Linked DNA regions of Struthio camelus. The protein of the gene in region 1 interacts with the protein of each later gene in a pairwise test. Links are inferred from orthologs where the notes say so. Each region holds a gene or a part of one and is shown in the gene's direction. Other genes may lie near its edges.

What was found.
Region 2: the proteins of RGS19 (region 1) and GNAO1 interact in a two-hybrid assay, tested with the Homo sapiens proteins (2 studies listed by BioGRID). The link is inferred for Struthio camelus from reciprocal best matches to the Homo sapiens genes RGS19 and GNAO1.
Region 3: the proteins of RGS19 (region 1) and GNAZ interact in a two-hybrid assay, tested with the Homo sapiens proteins (2 studies listed by BioGRID). The link is inferred for Struthio camelus from reciprocal best matches to the Homo sapiens genes RGS19 and GNAZ.

The regions. Positions count from the first base shown.
Region 1 is NC_090959.1:17,475,290-17,482,990, forward strand, and holds the start of RGS19 (regulator of G-protein signaling 19), read left to right. Parts: upstream 1-4,641; 5' UTR 4,642-4,656; coding exon 4,657-4,696; intron 4,697-7,701. UniProt on the Homo sapiens protein: Inhibits signal transduction by increasing the GTPase activity of G protein alpha subunits thereby driving them into their inactive GDP-bound form. Binds to G-alpha subfamily 1 members, with the order G(i)a3 > G(i)a1 > G(o)a >> G(z)a/G(i)a2.
Region 2 is NC_090951.1:21,792,009-21,799,269, forward strand, and holds the start of GNAO1 (guanine nucleotide-binding protein G(o) subunit alpha), read left to right. Parts: upstream 1-4,261; 5' UTR 4,262-4,739; coding exon 4,740-4,857; intron 4,858-4,924; exon of another isoform or gene 4,925-4,947; coding exon 4,948-4,990; exon of another isoform or gene 4,991-5,012; intron 5,013-7,261. UniProt on the Homo sapiens protein: Guanine nucleotide-binding proteins (G proteins) function as transducers downstream of G protein-coupled receptors (GPCRs) in numerous signaling cascades.
Region 3 is NC_090958.1:8,575,381-8,582,660, forward strand, and holds the start of GNAZ (guanine nucleotide-binding protein G(z) subunit alpha), read left to right. Parts: upstream 1-4,280; 5' UTR 4,281-4,669; intron 4,670-7,280. UniProt on the Homo sapiens protein: Guanine nucleotide-binding proteins (G proteins) are involved as modulators or transducers in various transmembrane signaling systems.

The DNA.
Region 1 (7,701 bases):
ACCCCGACAGCTCGTGCCACTGGTCAGCAGAGCTGATAATCTTCAGTGCGTCCTTCAAGGACGCCTGTGCGATGCCGAAGGCAGCCTTTGGGGCTGCAGCCCCATATGCTGCTCTTAATTCCAGCCTAAAACAGCAGCGTTAGCCCTTTTGGCGAAGGCTTCTGCTAAGCTCTGGTTTTTGTTTGTTTTTTTTTCTCCCCCCCCCGCCCCCCACCAAGCTTGGCACTAAAAGGCAAACAAACAGCTCTGTGAGCTCCAGAATTTGTGCAGCCTGGTTTTCAACAGGCTCTTGTCTCTTGGGGGACTGACCTGGGTGCCTGAGAGGGCACAAACTCTGTCTGAAGTTTTTCCCACGGTTTAGACATCAATCAAGTGTCAGGTCCATGTGGATTCTCTGATGTCTAATAAGGCATGACAGACTATGTTAGTCTCTCTCACAGTTGCAGCTTTTGCAGGGTCATTCTCCTCCACCCAGCTGTTTGTAATTGTAGGACCTGAATTACATTGGAGAACTCTGTACTTCTGTCAGTTTTGACTAAAACTGGCCAAAGGGTTATGAAGTTTTCAGAGAGTGGAATCTAGAAGAATGTGAGTACGCTGATACACGAGATGATTGCATAAGCCCTGTTATATTAGGAAATCAAAATAACGAACCCTCTTTCCACTAAACATGATAGAATTTATAGTCGCATTGCCCCTGGTGATGCAAAAACCCTTTTTTAAACTTTGCTCTACAACCTATGGAGAGCCGCACTGCAGAACTCCAAGCTATTGCTTTATCTGGGAGTTTGAGCACAGGGGAGATGCTCTTTGCACTTCAGGTCGGCTTATTTACTGCCCCCGTGGGAAGGAGGTGGACTGATCAGATCCCTTCGTCTGTGCCTTTAATGAAAGGAAGTAGAAAGTGGAACTCAGAGCTGCTTTGAAGTGGCTGCAGAGCTCATGGAGCCAATATGTAGTTGGTTCCTGTTATTGGGGAGAAAAAGCCGAGAGGAACGCGCAGAGTGAAAATAAACGTCGACCCTACCTAGAAGGATTCTTCTTTTCAGTCAGTGTGCGAGCAATCACAGGAAGCCGTGGAGTTAGCACATGAGCTAGGGGTCTGCGTGTGAAACGGGGCACTTAGTAACCTCTGTGTGGCTCTGATATCTACTGGGAAGCTCCAGGGCCTTAAAAAAGCAAAACGGTTATAAAGGATGTCCAACTATTTCTCAAAAGGGAATAAATTGGCAGGGATCAAACTGCACAGCCCAAACCAGGTATTCTGCAAAGACACCCAGGGTGGATTTCTGCCCTGGAGAAGGAGCGGTCTCCGGGGCAGCTGTCCTGCCTGCTGCCACCGCACCACCTCGGGCAGCCTGCGTGGCCGCGCAGAAGCCCAACGTGGCCTGCGAGGCGTGCCGCAGGGCGTCCGCGGGCTGCCCTCAGCAGACAGCAGAGAGAGGATGAGCATGACCTCTACGGTCTCGGCTCCGAAAAGCACTTCCTGCAGAGTGGCAGCTCAGCAGCGCTGCTCTTGTAACTCCCGCATTGGCCGTCTTAGCGCAGGTGCTGCTGTACCTCAGAGCTCCAGGCCCAGATTCATTTTTTCGGTCGCTCCAGCCGAATTTCCCTCTGTTTGCTGAGGAGTCTTAGCAGTCCCACGTAACTGGTGAGAGCAAGAGGCCCTTCTGAAGCAATGCGTCCCTGACTAGACGCCAGGTATCCTGTCCCATTACCTGCCAGTCTCCGGGAGAGTGCACGGGCTGGAAACAGACTGGGAGAGCTCAGCCCACTCGGCTGCTCCAGCAGGGCTGATAGTTTCAGAGCGCCTTTGGAGATGGCTATTGAGCAACCGTTGACAGGCTTTCTCTCTCAGGTGGTGGTGTGCAGAGCCATAGGGAGCCACGCTGTATCTCAGTCCTGACACAGGCTGGCTCTCCTCAGATGTCCACTGAAGGATGCTTCCTGCTCCCAAGCATCCTGCCTGGAGTTATTGGAGTCCTTCTTCTTGAGAAGGAAAACAAGCTTTGCAAGTGCTTTCTTTGTGTAACACTTGTTAAAGCACACTGCTACCCATACTCTCCAAGCAGAGAGCACCTCAGCTTACTCAGCACCGTCCTAGGGGGATCTCCATCAGCACCGCTGGGCAGGAGGAGTCCATTGAAGGCACTGCTGTACCCTGTCAGGGCACACACTTTCCCTTCAGAAAGGGCTACAGGGCACCAAAAGGGTGCAACATTAGCAGATCTTAGGATCATGTCCCCACTGTCCAAATACCAGTGCTGGGCTAAGAAGCTACAGCTGCTCTCCAACATCCAGCAAAACTGCAGTCTCGATTGTCTCTCCGAGAGAGTCCGGAAATTTTTCCTTCTCCCCGCCGGGCAGTGGGTTTCGGTGGGCTGATGCCGAGCCATCGCCAACCGAGCGGAAAAGGCGAGCAGGCGGCGGGGGGCAGGGGCCGGGCCGGGCTGCGGGGCGCCCGCCGCGCTCCCGGCGGAGTCGGGCGGCACCTGCGGGCTGGCCCCGCTACTGCACCGGGCGCCGGGAGCCCGGAGCCGGGAGCCGGGAGCCCGGAGCCGGCCCGACCTCCGCGCCGCCCCGCTCCCCCAGCGCCGCGCACCGCCAGCCCCGGCGAGAGCCGCTGCCCCCCGGGGGCGGCATCGCCCGCCCTCTCGGGGAGTTAGAAACACGCTCTTGCCTTTCTGTGGGACGGAGATTGCAGAGCTTGCAGAAGAGGGAGCTGGTTGGGGTGGAAAGGGTTGGGGAAGTTTTTGCCACGTTTGTGCAAAGTCGGTGATAAGTAACAGAGAGGCTACAGGACCCTGCAAGAGCTGATTGCATGCAAGTAATCTCCACCTGAGTCATGAAACATCTCAGCTCCTCTGCCATGAGCAATTACCACTTATGACAGAAACAGCTCAAGTAAGACTGCCCCTTCCTTCCTAGGTTCCCTTTCAAAGTGCTGGGGGGGGGGGGTGGCTGGCTTTCCCAGAAGTTACTGCCAGCCCTTGGAGTGGGGGCCAGCACATCCACGCACCGAAAGTTTTCATCCACTTCTTTAGGGTGGACGGTGGGCCTGGGAGAAAAGCAGCTTTCCAAACTCAAAGCTGAATTAAAGCAGGGTTCCTGCTTATTTAACGGAGCATTTGCAATTTCTAGAAAAGATGCATTTTCTTCTCCAGGTTGTGTGTGTGTGTGTGTGTGTGTGTGTGTGTGTGTGTGTGTGTGTGTGTTTAAAAAGGAGGTATTAAGGACAAGCTGTGACATTGTGAGCGGAAGATTGCAGTCTAGTTTGGCCATTTGTTGATAACACTACTTTGCAGGCAATTTGCGAGCGGCTGCAGATTTTCTCCCCATCCACACTTCCTTTTTTAAAAGGTGACTTTTTTTCAATGAAACATTCATGGTCTTTTTAGTATCTGAAGGGATGGTAACTCAAAAGCCACAGAGAATCACCAACCAAGTGTTCATGGGGATTTATAAAAAACCCAAAACATGGAACATAAAACAGTGCTTGAGGATGTGGGAGCCTTTACAGACATTTGTGAGCTTTCAGCTAAATTACACGCTAAAGCAAAGGTGAGGGCTGGCATCCTGGTTGCGTTGTGGGGGAAGGGGACAGCCTGACATCCGCAGCATTTCACTGAAGTTGCTCTAAGAGTTGGGAAAGCTGATAGTGGAGGGACCTGAGGAAGGCCCCTGCTTCATCCACCGAGATCCTGGCGCAGAACCAGGTCCTATATGACCAAATGTTCTCTAGCTCCTGCTGGAGCGAGCTGAATGGGTAAAAAGAGGAAAATCTAGACTATTGAAAACAGCAGGTTGAAATGCGGGGAGGCGCAGGGTCTGGAACATAATCTAGCCGTGCGTAGGGGCAGAGACCTGGGGTAAGCCAGGAGGTCTGTTACTCACATGGGAGGGGAGGGTGGTCAGGTTTGGGTTTTCAGCTGAGCAGTCACAAGTAAAGGCCTCTTTTAACTGCTTTCCCCACGTCACAGAGCGCATGTCTCAGGGACTGAAGTAGAGGGTGGTTTGATCATTGTCTTTTCCAGGGAAATGGGTTTTAATGAGGTTTTGAATAATAAAGTGGGATAATTTCCCTGGCTGGCAAGATCATGAAATTTTTATGTCTCCTTTCTCTCCCAAAGTTTTATCACCCTTTATTTTTAGAGACACATAATCCCCCTTAAAAAAAAAAAAAAAAAGGCAGAGAAACTACTGATTTAGGGAAAGCCACTCCTCACCAGGGACTCTTGGGTCAGGGAAAGCAATCCTTCAAGCAGCTTCTCTCCCAGTTGTTCCTTGCCACATGTGCTGGGGACAGGCAAGGGCCCGGAGGGGGCAAGGCAGAGGAGCAGGGTCCCTCCAGCCCCTTCCCTTGGCTGAGCCTTTGCCCAGTGCCTGCACACTGGGGGCAGGTGACGTCCCCGCTCCGGCGGGAGTGTGTTGGGGCGGGAATGGTTCCCTCCCAGTGCTGGCGTAGAGGGCAGGAAGCACGGTGCCTGGGGGAGGCTGGGTGCTGGTGCAGGGCGCTGGTGGGGTGGAGGGTGCTGGTGGAGGGTGTTGCGGTAGATGCTGGGTGCAAGGAGCTGGATGCTGGTGCAGGGTGCTGGTGCCGAGTGCTGGCACCGGGTGCTGTGCATGGCGCCAGTACCGGGTGCTGATGCTGGGGGCATGTCCTGGATGCGGGTGCTGCTACTGGGCGCCGGTGCAGGTGCTGGTAGCGGGTGCGTGCACTGGGTGCTGGTGCGGGGCGGTGTGTGTGTGTGTGTTTTGACGTGAGGAAGTGCCAAAGCTGCAATTGCTTTAGGAAGTCAATCGCAGGGGCCGGGGGACGCGTGCGCAGTGCAGCCGCGCCGCTCCGCGCCGCTCCGCGCCCGCTGCCTCTGCCTCTCCCTGCGGTGCCGAGCCCGGCGGCAGCGCAGAGGCGGCGGCCGCGGGGAGCGGGCGGCGGCGGCGGAGGGCGCTGCGCGGCGGCGGCGGCGGATGCCCGGCCCGTGAGTACCCCGCGGCCCGGCCGGCGCTGCCCGCGGGATGCCGCGGCCGGGGGCCGGGCCCGCCGCCCCTCGCTCGCCCTCGCCGCTGCCTCCCCGCGGCGGGCTGCGGGCAGATCCCCGCTTCCCCCCCCCCCCCCGCACCGCATGCTCCCGCTTTGCTTGCGCCCCTCCGCATGCATGCATGCTTGCATGCTCCCCCCGCGGCGCGCAGCGAGCGCCGGGGTTGATGGGCAGCTCGGGCTGTGTGTGTGTCCGTCCGTCCGTCCGTCTGTCTATCCGTGCCCGGCTGCTGCCTGTCACCAGCCCCGTGTGCCAGGGGGGCTGCCGCCGCGCTGGGCGGGGGGGGGGGGGGGGGGGGAACCGCGATGGCTCCGCGGGGACCGGCGGGCAGGGCGAGGGACCCCCCCCCCCCCCCCCGCGGCGCGCTGCATCACCCCGGCGAGAGGGCAGGGCCCCTGCGAGGAGGAGGAGGAGGAAGGAGGAAGAGGGAGGGGGGCACCCTCCAGGCGCAGGGCTGCCTGCAGCGGGGCTTACCCGGCCCCGGGGGAGGGTGGGGGGGGGGAAGCGTGCCAGGAGGGGGTGTCCGCCGAGGCCTCGGCCAGCCCAGGGCTGCCCTGGCCCTCCTGCTCCCACAGGTGTGTGCGAGGGCAGCCCTGGAGCAGCCAGCCCCACGCCGCCTCGGCCAGGCAGGACGCCTGGGCCCCTCTGTGGCTTCCCGTCTCGCCATGTGTAGACGGGTGTCGTCCCCGGCAGCAGAGCGCGGTAGCTGCAGGGAGCCCTGACCTCGCCGGTGGGGTAGCGGCGAGCGCCGGCCCCTCGGGGAGGTTGGCTGAGGTCAGGCGGTGGCGGTGGCGGGGGGGGTCCGGTCTCTTTGTTGGGGGACGCCCAGCAGGTCACCTGGCCTCTAGCAATGGCAAGGCTGGAGGGTTGGGCAGAGGGGACCTCAGTCGGACGTGTCCCGGCCACGGCTCCCCCCGCCACCCGCCGTCCCGCTGGAAGGCAGCGTGACGGCTTCCTGTCACCCGGCACGAGCGCGGCCCGTGGGCGGCATCCCGGGGTGCCGTGCCGCCGCTTGGCGCCGCGTCCCCGCGGCCGAGGGGTGCGGAGGGCCAGGCGCGGGCCGCCGGAGGTGTTGCACGTGCGGCTCGCGCTACGGCTCTGGGCATGGCGAGGTTCCCTCGGGAAGCTCCCTGTCCCCACCGCTTCCATGAGGCTCTTCTGGCACCGGTCCGTGGCCTTATTTAAGAAACTAAACAAAAAGTGTTAAGTGAGTGGGAGGGATTTCCCCGCTGCGAGGGGAGTTCGCTCCCCTCTGGATGCGTCTCCACCATCGCCGTCGGTAGAGACGCTCGTCCCGTGTCACGCTGGACGAGCAGAGCCTGTTGTTTTTGCTGTCCTGGTGGGTGTCGTTTGCTTTGGGAAAACGGGTCGCCCCAGTGGGCACGTATTGCAGAATATCTTTCCCAGGGGACAACGCCACATCAGATTTCCCTACAAGGATTTTAGCTCCTCCGCGTCAGCCCTTCCCCACAAATGACTCAAGCCGCATGCTAATCAAAATACAGTCGTGTTCTTCAGCAATTAAACAAACTCCACCTCATAAGATTATAGTGGAGAAGCAGGGATTTAGTGACTCGAATATGTTTCAATCAGGGTCTGTGTGTCCATTTTGATGTTGTTATTTAAGAAAAAATAGGAACTGAAGGCAGGTAATCAGATAATGCTACTCGAACCCGGAGAGGGTAAGGGAGAAAAATACCTTGGCAAAGTGATTAATGCTGAGTCTGTCCTAGGTGCAGGAGCAGCCCATCTCCACCCTCTCCCTGCGCTAAGTGCATCCTCTCCTATCTGTGCTTATCTGCGGTCGTAGTCTCACTTTTAGACTGGGCTTGGGCTACAGCCTCTTGAGTTTCAACAGGGCTCATGCAAAGGGTCTGGGCAAGCTCCATGCTCCCTGCTCGTCCTCGTGGGTGTCTGTGGCATCGAGTGATCAACAGGTACACATGGCAAAACAGCCTTGGGAGGCAGCGCGTTGTTCCCACTGGGCTCCTCGCGCGTCGTCGCGCGCCCGGCCTGCTTTTGCTTTTGACCCCTCCATCCCAGAGCTGCTTGGTCTCTGCAGAGAGCGGGCTCAGACTGCCATGGCTTTTACTCTTTTTTTCCCCCCAAGCTTTTATCCTCTGGATAAATTTATTTTGGAAAATTTGCTCAAGAGGAGGTAAAATCTTTGCCGCGCTCAGTTCCTTAGCCCCCCTTGGGGGTTTGCCAAGGGAAGCGTACCCTGCGCCCTGCCTTCCCCTTCCGGCTCTCTTTGTACTTTTGGGCCACCTTCTTCCCCCGAATGCCCCGTCCCTGGGCGAGCGCCCGGCGGCGGGGCCGCTCGCGGCGCCCGGCCCGTTGCAGAGCGGGCCGCGACGCTGCGTGAACCGCGGGGGCGGGCGCCGTGTCCGGGCCGCATCGCCGGGCTCTCGGCTGCCGTGACATACGCTTCCGGGTTACCCGGAGCCCGCGGCGCTCACTGACACTTCCTATTACTCAGTTCCTTATTCATCTCTGCATATCTCTGTAGACATTTCCATTGCAAGAGATCTGCTGAGAACTGATCTAAAGGCAGTTGTTTATATACTTTATTTAACAGCTACCTTTTAATTTGAGGGAAGAAAAAATAACTGGAGGTTACCGCAAGTTGTTTTAGTCCCTCAAGTTCAGAGTACCTTGCAGG
Region 2 (7,261 bases), on another chromosome or scaffold:
AAGACAAGTTGAAAAGGATTGTAGCTTGCCTCCTATGGTCATCGTATCCTGGATTTAACCCTCTCCCTCTTCACACCACCCACCAGTTCACAGAGGCTATGCCGAACCAACAATAGCAACTAATTCCAGGGACGGGATCCAGCATGATGCTCCCTCCCAATATTATTGCAACTTCATTTCTGGTGGTGGGAGCGTTGTGGTAGCTGTGGGAGTTTAAGCCAAAGATACTCAATTCGTTTTTACTGAGGATAGTTCTCCCAGCCAGTTTTACTACCTCCTGGCAAGCTGGGAGGCATGTGCTGGCTAAATCCCGAAAACACACGCTGCCTTCACGGCCAGGATCTGTGGCAGGGGTTTGCAACTGCTCCCCAAGGACTTGTCCAGACTGTGAGACCTAGAAGGGCTTCCTAAGTCCTGGGTCTCAATAAACTCCTTGTCTTCCCCCGCATCACACTGTCTGCTATGTTTCCCTTAGAAAGAAAACAAGCTGTCTACGTTAGAAGGAAGTCAGAGCACTCTACAAATCCCTGAGCTGGTAGTCTGGAACTTGGGACGGTGAGGTGTGCTTTAGAGCACATCTCTCCCACCATTTGGACACAGCCAGGAGAATTATGAGAGATATCTCATCACCCATAGGAACACCACACCCCGGAGATCATAAGATGACAATATACCTAGTAACTTTACTTTGGCACTAAACGTTTCAAACGCATCCATCAATTCTGTTAACGTTATCCCAACCTTCACTTCTTAAAGAAATGATTATCTAATTATTTTTTCCTAGCAGAATGGTTGAAAGCAGATTGTGAAGAGGAGACTGTTCTTGCTAAAGCACAGATTACAAATACAGGAGAATGAGGGTTTTCGTTTAAAATATGCTGTTTGTTCTTATGCTTGTAAAGATAATAGTCCAAGCAGAAACAAGCACTGTCCTTCGTGTACTTTGAGTGATATAGTTTAACTGCAGGATCGGCCAGAAAAAAGTCGTCCCCCCCCAACTACCTGTCATGAAAAATATCTTGCATATTTAAGAAAATAAGACAATTTTCTCTGAAGTTGTTAATGAAACCAACTACTTTTCATTAAAAAAGAAATCCCGCCAGTCCCTGGAAACATTATTTTCAGCCACAAAACCCAACGTATTAACCTCAAAGGCCAAGTAGACTGCTACATTTTTTCATTGCTTAGTAGGAGAGGCAGGCTGTTTTTCAGGTTCTTGAAATCCATCTGCCATGAAAACACAATTTGTAAAAAAATGAAATTTCCTTCTAAGAAAAATTCAAATGAAACTTTCCCATCACCACCACTCAATTAGCAGTGACATAAAACCTGTAAAACTTGGCTCAGAAACGGCTCACTTTCACAGCTGCTCCCCTGAATCTGAGAGCAGAGACACCAAGGAGAAGATCTGCCCATTTTGGGTTGTCCCTTAAGAAAGAGATTAGCAGACGCTTACATAGCGATTGGGACTGCACATGGGAGAAAAGGCCTAGTGTGGACCCCCCCACTAGTCACGCAGAAGTGAAATCATTTTCTCCGTGGCAGGAGGCACGGGCTACAAATTTGCCAGATAACGAGTAGCCAGAGGCTGATACGAAAGACAAATTCTCTTAGTGAAATCTTCGGGGAATATCCCAATACGACTCCTATGCTGGCAAATTGGTGGAGAAGTTGGCAAGTAAAACGTAGCCATCTCATGAGGACGCTGCGTCTCGATTTTTTGTTTGTGCTTTTTTTTTAACTGCAATTTTCATAAATCCCTCTGGCTAGTACCGTCAAAATGAAACTTACCAATTGAAATTCTGATCCCATTGATTTTACACAAGGGATTTGCATGGGTATGAAAGAGCAGGAACTGCTCTGCAATCAGTCACGTCTCCATTTACTCCCAACCAAAGACATGTGGTAGATTTGCTTTTCCATGTACGTACTTGTCATCTCATTCCCACGAGCTTCCAGATATAAATTACCCAAAATTCAGATATACAGCACCTATTAGCTCACAAATGAGCAGTAAATACTATTGCTCCCTGAATGCACTGACATTATTTATGAGTTACCTTTTGCCCTCTTTTTTCCCCATTTCTACCTTCTATCTCTTTTTTTACCCCTTTAACCACATGCCATATTTTTTTCCCTTCCTTTCAGGGGAGGGAAAATGAAAAAAAAAAAAAAAAGATTCTGGAAGGAAAGTGTGATGGGAAGCAGTGCTGGGAGGACATGATGATGTTTGCCTGGAAGGAAAGTGTCAGGGAAGCTGTGCTTAACATACTGGAAGTGCTATTAGAAATGGTATTGCTAGCCCTAAAGGAAGGGTCTGTAGATATAGCAGTAGCACAGCTCAAGACAGCAGGATGTAAGAAGAGCTCAGAAGAGGCAGTGGGCCAAGGCCCGAACTGGAAGATCAACAGTGCGTGAGCGTACAATCTCTACCACCCAAAATAAGAAATGGCAAACCACTCCCTTCCCCGAGCCGCTCGCTGTGAGACAGCCCGGGGGAAGTCTGGACCTGGGATTTCCTGAAGGCCTGTTCACTAAACAGAGTAATGCTGGTATTAAGCCTGTTGTATCCTTTCTTCTTAAGGGGGGGGGGGTAGGAGTGGATTTCAAGGGCAAACCTTCCCATTCACATGCTATTTCCTAACAATCAGCCCTTCCTTTGCAGACTTCTTGTTTATTATGTGTGTGTGTGGGGGGGGTGCTTTCTTCATATCAGGCAATAGTCCCTTAGTTTGCTCATCTGTATGTTTGATGGCTTTTAGCTTGCTGTCCTCAACACTCCATTCTTTTCTTTCTAATTTTTTTATAGTCAGACTGTCACATATCAATCAATGTTATGGATTGAAGCTGAATATATCATGACTTGTCTATGTGCTGGAAAAGCATTTTAAAGAAATTTTCCCCATTGACATTTTCTGTTCCCCATTTCCCTCCTTAGGAAATGGTAAAACCAGACAGGAAAATTGCAGGATTTTAACTTGCTAGAATTCCTAAATAATTGCTAGATGTAGTGGAATGGTTATGAAAACAAGGCAGGTTATCTGGTGAGAAGGAATCTTTGATTGCACTGCAGCACAGAAAGAAAAAAAAAAACCCACCTGTTAATCAGACTGATGGAAAACATATCCACAATGGTGGCGAAACTTGATGGCTTCCCTCAAGCACGTAAACAATTTGTATTACAAGTGTTGATCAAAACAATTTAACTGATCAGACCGCTTCAGAAGGGCTCCTCACAGATCTCGCACGCCGGAGGTGCGAGCCCAGCGCACAGGGGCCGGCGGCGCGGAGGACCCGCGGGGCAGCAAGGGAACGGGGCGTCTCCACCGCCTGGGGCTGCGGTACTGCAGCCCCGGCCCCATGGGCGACCCAAGGCCTATTAAAATGCACTGCTGTGTCATGAATCCAACCACACGTCTCCCAGCCCCTCTGATCTCTGTACTACCTGGGCAGAGCCAGGGCAGTGACAGAGGTGCGGGAGCTGTGCAGCTGGGCAGACCCCAGCCCACAGTGACCATGGCAGGGGGGAGAGGACCCAGGGGAAGGGGGGACCGGAGCCCAGGTCACGGCCTCTCCCTAGCCCAGGGCAAGGGGAAAGGAGCTGGGACTGCGGCCTCTGCCCAGGGGAAGGGGGAGAGGAGCCCAGGTCATGAACTCTCTCTGCTGGGGTGAGGAGGACAGGAGCCTGGGTCGCGGCCTCTCTCTGCCTGGGGAAGAGGGGCAGGGGCCTGGGCTGCAGCCGCTCTCTGGCTGGGGAGAAGGGGGAGAGGAGCCCAGGCCGCAGCCGCTCTCTAGCCCCAGGGAAAGGGGGCAGGAGCCCGGGTCGCGGCCTCTCTCAGGCCCGGGACAAGGCGGGCAGGAGCCCGGGCCGCGGGCCCTGGGTGGCCCGAGGCGGAGCCCGCAGCCCGAGCCTGACCCCGCCGCGGCGCTTCCCCTCAGGAGAGCCGGCGAGGGGCCTCGGCGGGACCCGCGGGGCGGCGGCGGCGAGAAAGGCCGGCCGCGCCGCCTCGGGGCGGGGGGGGGGGGGGGGGGCGCGGGCCGGGGCGGCGGCGGCGACCGGGCTGAGGCTGAGGCGGGGGCCGCCGCGAGCATGCGCGAGCCGCGCGCGTCACGGGAGCGGGCGAGGCCGGCGGGAGCGCGGAGCCCCGGCGCGCCCCCCCCGCCGCTGCCGCTGCCTCCCTCCCTCAGCATCCGCCGAGCTCCGCGAGCGCGCCCCGCCGCCGCCGCCGCCGCCGCCCGTGAGGGACCCGCCGCCGCCCGCGCCAGACGGGAGCAGCCCGCCAGCAGGGGAGAACGCGGAACCCGCGAGCACGGGAGAGGGAAGGACCCACCCCCCGCCACGAGCCCTCTTCCTCCTCCTCCTCCTCCTCCCCCTCCTCCTCCTCCGCCTCCTCCTCTCCGCCGGGAAGAGCTCGCACGGCGCCCGCAGCCCCGCTCTGCCCGGTGCCCAGTCGGATGCGCTGATCACTAGGGAGCGGGCAGAAGGGGAGGAAGGAGCCGCGACCCGCCGAGGACACGCCGCGCCGCCCAGAGATTTAGAAAGCTTTTTGTAATCCTTTTTTTTTTTCCCTTCCCTGCCGGGGCTCTTTTTGCCGGCGGATTTGGGCTGCCCCCTGCCTCCTCTCCTGCCCGCGGAGGAGCCAGCCGAGGCGGCGGCGGCGGCGGGGGCCCGTTTTCCTTTTTTTTTTTTTTTTCCTCCCATTTTGTTTTTTTTTTTTTTCCCAATTTTCGGGGCCGCCATGGGATGTACCCTGAGCGCCGAGGAGCGGGCCGCCCTGGAGCGGAGCAAGGCCATCGAGAAGAACCTCAAGGAGGACGGGATCAGCGCCGCCAAAGACGTGAAGCTGCTGCTGCTAGGTGAGCCCGGCGCCGCGCGGCCCCCCGCCCTGCGCCGCGCTCACCGCCCGCCCTGCGCCGCGCTCACCCGCCTTTCTCCTCTCTCCGCAGGGGCCGGGGAGTCGGGGAAAAGCACCATCGTGAAGCAGATGAAGTAAGAAGCGGCGCCGCGCGGGGCCGGGGAGGGGGGGGGGGGATCGCGATCATAACGGCCGTAACGGTGATGATCGCGACGGCGGGAGCGGCGCGCGGGGCGGGGCCGGGCGGGGCGGGGCCGGGCGGCGGCCGCCGAGGTGAGCGGGTGCCCGCGGCCGCCATGTTACCTGAGGGGCCGGCGGGCGGCTCCCGCGCCCGCCCCGCCGCCGCCGCCCCGCTGCTGTTCGGGGCCGCCGTGGTGCTGAAGCGCCGGCGAGCGGGCGGCAGCGGCCGCCGAGGCAGCGGGGCAGAGCCGGCGGACGCGCCGCGGGCGCTCGACGGCAGGTTCCTGCCCCCCGCCTCCCCCCCCCCCGCGCCTCAACGCCCGCTCCCCCGGCGGGGGCTGCCCGGCTGCCGCTGTGGCGTTCATGGAAGGAACGCCAAAATCCGCCGGTAATGCGGATTCCGCGGAAAGGCGCCCTGCCACCCAAAGCCCCTTTCACCCGAGCTTTTAGCCTTTCAATTAATGAGCGGCGAGTTTGGCTGCCGAGCGCCAATTAAAGGGGCCGAGGAGGCAGCGGCGGGCGGCAGCGCTTCGCCCCGCTCCCCTCGCCTCGCCTCCCGCCGCCGCTTGCGAGCCGGGGGGCCGGCGGCGGCGCGGGGCAGCGGCGGCCGGGCCCGGCCCCGGCCCGGGCCCCGGCCCCGCACACACCCCCCGCCCTGCTTCCTCAGCCCTCGCTGCGCGGTAAACAGCAGCGCTGGGAAAACCCACTGCGCGGCCTTTTCCGCGGCGTCGCGATGGCTGGAGTAAGGGGAACGCTGATGAACGGCTGGAGATACGACCGTGGCGGGGTGCTGGGGTTTTCTTTCTTTCTGCTTTTCTTTTTTTTTTTTTTTTTGTTTTCCTCCTTCCCCCTCCTTTTAATTGAAGTACAATCACAATCCCAGCCGCCCGCTGAAGCAGGCACGACAGGCTGGTCCAAGGCGGCGCCATCACTGAGCAACCCCGTGCATTGATTCAGTGCCTCGCTTTTAATTCGGAAAAGACACGGAGCCCTTTCTGCTTTCTAACGCTGATGGTTGCGGAGGGCTGCTCGCCTGGGAGGGGCCCGCGGAGGCCGGCGTTGCCTAGCGAGCGAGGGGCGCCGGCGGTGGGTGTGGAGGCTGCGGGGAGGGGTTGTGCGTGGCAAGCCGCAATCCGGGCAGCGGGTCGCCGAGCAGGGGCGGAAGGGCGCGGGCGCGGCGGCGGGGCCGGGCGGCGGGGCCGGGCGGGGCGGCGGCGGCGGCGTTCAGGCGGTTGCCGTGGTGGACAGCGCCCAGCGGGGACTCGAACCCGCCGGCGCGGCTGCCGCTTCGGCGCGCCTCGGCTCCGCCCGGCGGAGGCCGAGCGCCGCGCTCGGCTGCCTCCGGACAGCGCTCGGAGGCGGTCGGGAGGAGCCGAACGGGCTCGGAAAGAGCCGAAGGGGCTCGGAGCCGCTCGGGCATACCGCTGCCCTGCGCGTCCCTGCGCGGGCGGCCCGCAGCCCCGCCGGGAGACGCCGGCAGGCGTGACTCGGGCATGCCCTGCCCGTTGCTGTGTCAGGCCGTTGCGTCTGGCCGCGGGGGCTCCCGGGGGAGTAAGCCGCCCCCCTCCTACCCCCCCCCCGGCGCACGGCGGGCCCGGGAGGGCTCCCCTCGAGCGCCCGGCGCGCCCCGCCGCTCTGCCCGCCCGCAGCGGGTGCCGCAAGGGCTCCCGCTCAGCCCCCGCTCGCCCGCTGCGGCGGGCGCTTTCCACCCGGAGAGGGCCTGGGGGGGCCCTGCGCTGATGTGGGGCCGGCGGCGCGGGGCTGGGTGTGCGAGGGGGATCGGGGGGGGACGCTGCTGCGGATGAGCACCCATAAATTATTGAGCCGCTTCTGCAGAAACAGGCTGGCATGGCGGACGGCGGGGTTTGGGCGAAGGGAGAGGCTGTGGCGACCACAGCGGCGGCGCGCCAGCGCGCACACGGGGTCCTTGGGCGAGAAGGGCAGGCTACGGCCACGGTGGCACAGGCGATTAGTGTCCAGCGCTGCTGGGTAGCAGAGCTCTTGTTTTTTAAAGCAAATTGTCTCACGATAATAACCAGCCTGCTGGGCTGAATCGCTATATCGAGGACTGAATAATACCCCACTGTTGTACATATGTATTTTTTTCCATGAGACAGTCTGAAAGTAATGCATGGCAGGCTTGCAGTTTTGTGCCTGACTTGAAAAATGCAGAGACGGCAGAGACGGCTGCTATGGTGGCAGGGCTCGTAGTGTCGGAAACTGGG
Region 3 (7,280 bases), on another chromosome or scaffold:
ATATTTAATAAGTTTAGATAAGAAATTGCTGTTTGTGGATGTACTTATGACAGCTACAGAACTCATGTCCTGTTGTGTATGCTTCTCAATTACTTACAATTTGGTATGTATTTTTGAAAAAATTGGTATATATTGGTATATATTTAAAAAAAAAACATTTTATCGCAATGAATAAACTTTAAATGACTTTAATTTGTGACATTTTTTATGTACTAAATGCCTCCCACTTTCTTTTGGGTTAAAGTTTGGTATTTTTTTCCCCATTCCTTTACCCTTAATAGTGGGAAATGAGAAAACACTATTCTTATCTCCTATTTTTTCCATAATAATGCAGGCCTGATGGCTCCTTTACCTTATTTCATGAAATCTCTGTTTCTAGCTTTCTTCCCATGGAGGCTCTGAAGGAGTTTGGGTGCCTGTCTCGCTCACAAAGCTTATGGTAAGTGCAGACTGCTGTGTGAGGTCAACTGCGCAGGAGGGCCAGCACTTCTGCCAGGGCTCTAGGCGAGCCTCCAAGCAGCTGTCCGCCAACTGCTGGATTTAGTGCTTGTTTTTCTAAACTTGGCTTCAGTGGCAAGTGCTGATTCAGCAGTCAAGCCAATGAATGAGAAGCGCATATATAGCAGGTATATAATAAAAAACGTGAAGAAATGTACAGGAGGCACTTACATTTTTAGGCTTAGGTTGTTTCTTCTTTTTTTGTCTTTTCTTCTTTGAAAAACTAAGGAAGTCCTTCTCTTTAGCTGATTGTGTTACTAGCTGTAACTCCCTGTCTGGGTTCAAATTCCCAAATAACTCCAATGATTAGACCTAATAGAGCGAACAGTTGATTCTAAGCCAAGCCCTCAGTCATGAATGATGCAGGCCCAAGACACAAGAGTGAAATGCTGGTAAAAAATGAATTTTCATCCTAAATCATAAAGCCAAAGGAGGTATTCAGGCTGATACCACCTGCTGAAGGATACGTTCGTGGCTTTTTTTCCACCATCTCACAGCCACTGGTGCAAAGCAACAATATGTCAGATAGATAGTTATAAATATCAGATTCCAGTCATCTGCAGTTGATGCTATTTTAAACTCCTCCACGTGAGAAAAATGGTTAAAAATAAAAATACAGCCTCTTTATTCTTCTCTAAATGTTCGGTTCAGTTCTTCATGCTCAAAGAGAATCACAGACCCATCTATAAATATCTAACCCAGATCTACAAAACGAGAGTGTTTGGTAGAAAACTGAATGAAATATAAAATGTCTTTTATTATATTTTTATTACAGACCAGATGTGGCCTCTCAATTTTCCCCTCTATCATTTGGAGATGTACGTTCACCAGGAATCCTGTATGTGTGCATATAAATATTTTGATGTTGTCATGGTATAATAAATGCTAATCGATTAGAAAAATCCCTATGGGATGGTTGCAAAAATCCCTGTGGGATTTTGCATTTAAGAACACATTTCTGTTTTAGCACTATTATCTTCACACTAAACATATATGAATGCACCTATTTTGATTGATCTCAAGCAGAAAGCAGTGCTAAACAAGCAAAGATTTGGCTTTCGGTCAATGGACAGCAGTGGAAAGTTGAGTGAAACAGGTATGTATTCCTGTAAGCTGCATATTAGATGTTGCATATCAACAGTCAAACACTACTCCCTTCAAATTAAAACCTGTTTTGACTTAGGAAAAAAATTGTGACCTGCCTTACATGGAGGAGAGAGCAGGAATCCAATCAGATCATCACAGTTCCCTCAAGCTACTATTTGTTAACCCATTCATCCCATGAAGTGCTTTTTATGGAACACTGTATCTGATAGTTTGTCCAGACTTTTCAGTTATAAAAAGTAATGCAAATTATTCACTTCTAATATGCATTTATGTGTTTTCAGTCTAACCATATATAAAGAACAAGTTCAGAGCACTGAGCTTAAGAATTATGTTCTTCTTGGTCATCAAATATGCACAATTGGACTTTGGCATTTAATTATCTGCACAAGTTGTTTTGATATATTTCTCTTTAAATTTCTATGGGAGCTTGACTATATGTAGTGCACTCAGTACCAGCTGAAAGGCCCGGAATGAGAACTTCCGGAAACAGGACAAGGTGAGATTGAGGAAAATATAGACAGAACTGCTGATTTATTTTTCAGATGAGTCAGGTTTTAACTGTACCATTAATCAATGGCAAGCTCCCAAGCTGTCGTGTTGAAGCAATAACACCTAAACTTCTCAGAGCAAGACCCGTTCCATTACTCATGTGCTGCCTGCTCATAATTCCATCACTTCTGAGACTTGATCTACAGTTAGGTGCCTCCCTCAAAACTGCAAGAAAGAAAGCATTTTGTTATATCAATCAAAAGTACCTAAAAGTGATGAAATCTGGAGAGAGCATGCCAATGATGATCATCCTACACAGGATGATGGTAGCTGATGCTATTATTTCTCCCAAAGTTGGTCAATGTGTAGAAGATGCTTTTTTTTTTTGCATGTAAAGTACTATGCCGAAGACACATGTAAGGTGATAGTTTCTATAGTAACTACTTGTTCTTTATGGAATAGCAGATTAAACCTGCACACCCTGTTATTGTTCTCTTATCCGTCTATCTAGACTCAGTCCGTTATCACAGATACACTTTTTTAGTCTATTCCCTTTCCAACATAACTATGTTGGGGTTTTATGCAACTGCAAGTAAAGAGTACTTTTGAAAAACAAAAGCAAAACACTCTTAGAATTAAAACATTGACCACTGTCTGATCATATAAATCCATCAGAAGACAAAACTACATTGCTAGATACTAAAGCTAAAATTTCAAAATAAACTTGTAGTGCTTTTAAGGTGATTACCTTTTTTTATTCGGATGGGGCAAATTTGAATATTTTGTTTTTGCTGGGAGAGTAATGCCAGTTATCTATATGACATTTTTTAAAATGCTATTATTATACCAGTAAAATCCCTTGTATAGATGCAAATATATAGGCTATAACAGAATTTTGTTCAAGAAATTGGGAATTTCAGTTGTAAATTGCATTAGCGAACGTACATTTACCCTAGCACAGACTGTATCTATGCTAGGAGTTTACCAGAATAACTTTGCTACTCTAGATGTACCAGCAAACTCTTCTAGTGCGAGCAAGACCTACAATTCGTTACTTAGAGGAAAATTTCCCCCACATGGTACACTGATGTTTGGTTCTTGTTTGTGTACAGGAAAAATACTGCTGCCATACTCTGTTTTATACTAAACTGTTTCATTATTATAATTCATCGATGCTGCAGCTCTGCTGATAATATCAGTACTGGAAGTGGTAGTATTTACAGGAATCAGATGCTTTCTGCACTGTATTATGTTAGCCTGATTGTGGAAAAAAATGTCTGCATTCTGTCTATGTCTGAAAAGCTCTATTGCTACCTCCAGCAGAAATGCATCAGTAATAAATTATGGCTATGAGATTAGCTATGTAGACAGAAACCATAGCTATTTGGTCAGGACTGCAGCCTCTACAGTGCAACTACTATTGTAGTATGGCTAAAAGGAAGAAAACACTAGAAAAAATGAGAGAGAAAAAAAAAAGTAAATCCATTAATGAGATAAGAGAAAAATGATACTCGGCACTACTTAAAAACAAAAGCTGTACTAAAACACATAGACAAATGCAAAAGATAGGAAAGAGTGAAAGGCAAAAAGGGAAAAGAAGAAAATACAGGCACGGCACACACAGAAAGGGAAAGATGGAAAAAAGTAGATGGGGACAGTAGCTAAATTCCAAGTAACTAGATAAACAGTTTCTTTCCCCCCTCCCTCTCTCCTTATTGCATCATTCCAAAATGTATGCGATTTGTTCCCACTACTTCACTGGCAGCTTCAGTACGCCCTGCAAAATTCACCCTAAAAACCTTGATACGGACAGGGAGGCACAGCAGCCCTGCAGCCGGCACCGCGGACCTGCTGAGCAAATGCGGGCGGGTGAATGCGTCGGTGTGGCTGGTAAAGCCTGTAAGGCAGCGCATATATGTGCGTGCACGTTATATAAGGCACGGGTGCAATATAGCGTAGTAGACGGGGTGGGGGTGGGGGGAAAAATCCCTAAAACGTCAACAGCTAGCGCCTGGCACGCCATGGAGCCCGTGCGAGGGGCAGGCGGGGCCGGGGGCCGGCAGCGGCCGCGCTCGGCGCCCCCCGCGCAGCGCTGCGGCCCCGCTCGCCGCCCGCCCCCCGCGCAGCGCCGCCGCCCGCCGCCCGCCGCCCGCCGCCCGCCGCCCGCCGCGGCAGCGCTGCCCCCCGCCGTTGGCGTGGAAACGGGCTCGCCGCCTCCGACTCCTCCTCCGAGCGCCAGCCCCGCGCTCCCCCTGCCCGGGCGTCCCTGCGCGCCCGCGGAGCACCTCCCTGTCTCACGCCGGGGGACCACGGGACAAGTGTTTCTATTACTGCTTTGTTTGTTTGTTTGTTTTGTTCTGTTTTATTTCGTAGGGTGGGGGGAGAAATGAGACAGGGCAGGTTTTTTCCTCCTGCTTGAGCTGTTGGTCCAGCGTCTGCAGCCGCGGTGTGTCTGCTCGCTGCAAAGCGTAGATGCTGATGTGAAAAAGGGCCGAAGGAGACAGGGACGCGTCTGTGGATGTGAGCGTTTGCGCTGATGGACTGAGGAGGTGGCTGCCTGCTCGGTGCTTAAGAGGTGAGTGAAATGTTGGGCATGTCTTTTTTCTCTTAAATCAGATTAACAATTAACGTTACCCTCTCCTTGTATTTTCCAAATAAAAAGGCACTTCTAAAGGGGGGAATAAAAAGATGTCATTTGGAAACAATAAGCCACGGTTCTGCTGGATGAAAGAAAAGATGAATGTCACTGTGAGCAAGGAATAATTTTCTGTGTGTAGAGAAAAAATAGCAAGGGGAGAAAGGCTGCTGATACAGTGAAAATGACCTTCTCAAGGGATACTGGCCTTCTATGAGCTGCTGCTTCAGCTTGCTCCCTTTTTCACAAAATTAAGTCATCTCCCTCACTAGCCTGGATTCTAATCCACTAACATCCAGTACCTGAGCCTGCCTAAGATCCATTGTGTTCTGTTAATGATTCAGAAAGATAATCCATTAGATTGCTCCTGTCGGGAGAAGACCCTCCACAGTGTTTAGCACCTCCTTATAGGGAAATGCAGACTTGTCTAACGTTCTGTTAGAAAAGACTCCTAGCTGCTGAATTTCTATAATCAATTCTCCTTGAAACAGTCACAGCTGCAAATTCTAAGGCTGCTTGCCTCTGTGGAGCTAGGCTGCTCTACCTCTTACTGTGTGCTCCTGCATGTGAAGGAATGGGGAGGTTTTATTATATTCATCTGCACTTGTGGATGGTTCCCACCTGCAGTTCTGAACCACAAGTTTTTTGATATGTTTGCATTTGCATTTTGCTTGAGTGATTCACACACAAAACCCAACCCTTCAATGTTAGCCTGTTAGATCTGCAGACATATGTCAGTTTAATTTCTGGTAATAGCACCGATCTGTTTTTGGCTGTTTCATTGTGCAAGCTGTTTAATGTGTGTTCTTGCAGTATATATTCTGGAGGCTACTGACCTGCCTCAACAACATTTTCCTCTGCAAGATTTGAGAAAAGCTCAATGGTTTTCCATTCAGCTCTTCTTCACACCCATTTGCTGCCACTCTTACACTCACAATTTGTTTTTTATATTGGCTCCATATTTCGCGCCATTGTGGGTCACACCCTTTGGGTGGCCGATATAATTTCTTTTACAGAGGTTATAACAGCAGTCAGGTAGGAAAAAAACCCCAGTCGTTGTGACCATCTATATGTGTATCAAGAAGGAGAAAAAAATGAGCACGTATTTTGTAGTTCCTTCGGGGAAACTGTTTCTGCCTGTGTGGCTGTAGGAAGCCTGAGCTGATGACTTAAGTGCTGTTATAGGCAGAAGTAGTGACTTTTCTTCAGCAGTGCACATATCTGGTAACTGAAGAGATACACATACAGAGATATAATGCTGCAGAATAGAGCTTCTTGCCATTAGCTAAGCTGTCTCTAGCTCACCATTTAGTTGGAAGCTTTCACCCCAAAAGCACAGGTCCCTGCCCTTGGATAAAGGACATTATTCCAGGCTAGGCCTACGTGCATGGAAGAATGCGGTTCCAGTCTTCAAGAAGCCAGTGATGAGGGCAATGAGGAGGAAAAGATCTTAGCTGTATGACATAGTTAGGAGAAAAATCCTATGATATATCCCATTACCAAAGCACTGCCATTTCACAGATGAATTCTGTGAAAGGCCATGGAGATTTTGTTACGACAATGGGCCTCACAAAGATGAATAAATTCTACGTGCTACATAAAAAAATGCTACATTACACCTCAGTCTGTGGATTATGTCCTTCTTACTTCAGCGACCACTGGTGAAGAGCTGAATGACTCTTCTGGAGGTATTATCTTGAAGTCAGATTTAGTAAGATTCCAGTACAGCTCAGTGTCTCGGCTACGGGCCTTGGGCTTGAATTTAACTATGATAATCTAAAAATAATGAGGCAGGTAGTTCTGAAGTACTGAAGGGAAAGTGCTCTGGTTGTCTCCATTCAGATTACACAATAATGGAAACAGAAGGTACGTTAGATTTTAAGAAATCTAGGCAGAACTAGAAAACAGAAATTCATCCCTTCTTCTGAGATGTGGGGAAGGGGATAAGCAGAGGGATAAGGATAACAGAAAATTCAGTAGACAGTGAAAGCTTAAATCCTCAAATGGTGAAGTCAGCTCTTCCTCTCCAACTTAAGCAGCTAATGATTTAGACAGCAGATAGAGTCTTGGCTGATACGTAGTGATAAGGCAATATAGGGGAATTATATCTCCCCCCCCCTCATTAATTACAGAAAAATACTCCCAATTCCTTTGGGGTAAATCACAGTAATTCCACTAATTTTAGAAGAGATTCTCCAGATTTATGTAGCTGAAAATAAGAGTTGAATCTTACTGTTTATGTCTATACATAAACAGTTTGGTTCTGCTTTCGCTGGAGTCATTGGAAGTTCTGTCACTGATTTCAACGAGAGTGAGCCCCAGCTCAGCATGAGCACGCATAGATTCACTGATCAGATTCTCCCGTGCCCTCTAGGAACAGCAATGCTGAACAGTTTAATAGCAGATTTCAGTGAGGTCACAGTCTCAAATGACAAATTCATAATCATATTGTTCTTATGGGGAAAATCGTAACATTATTGCAAAAATTTTGGCCTCCCATAAATGCTGTTAAAGTGGACACTACCCAGTTTCAGCAGTAACAGCTTGCCAC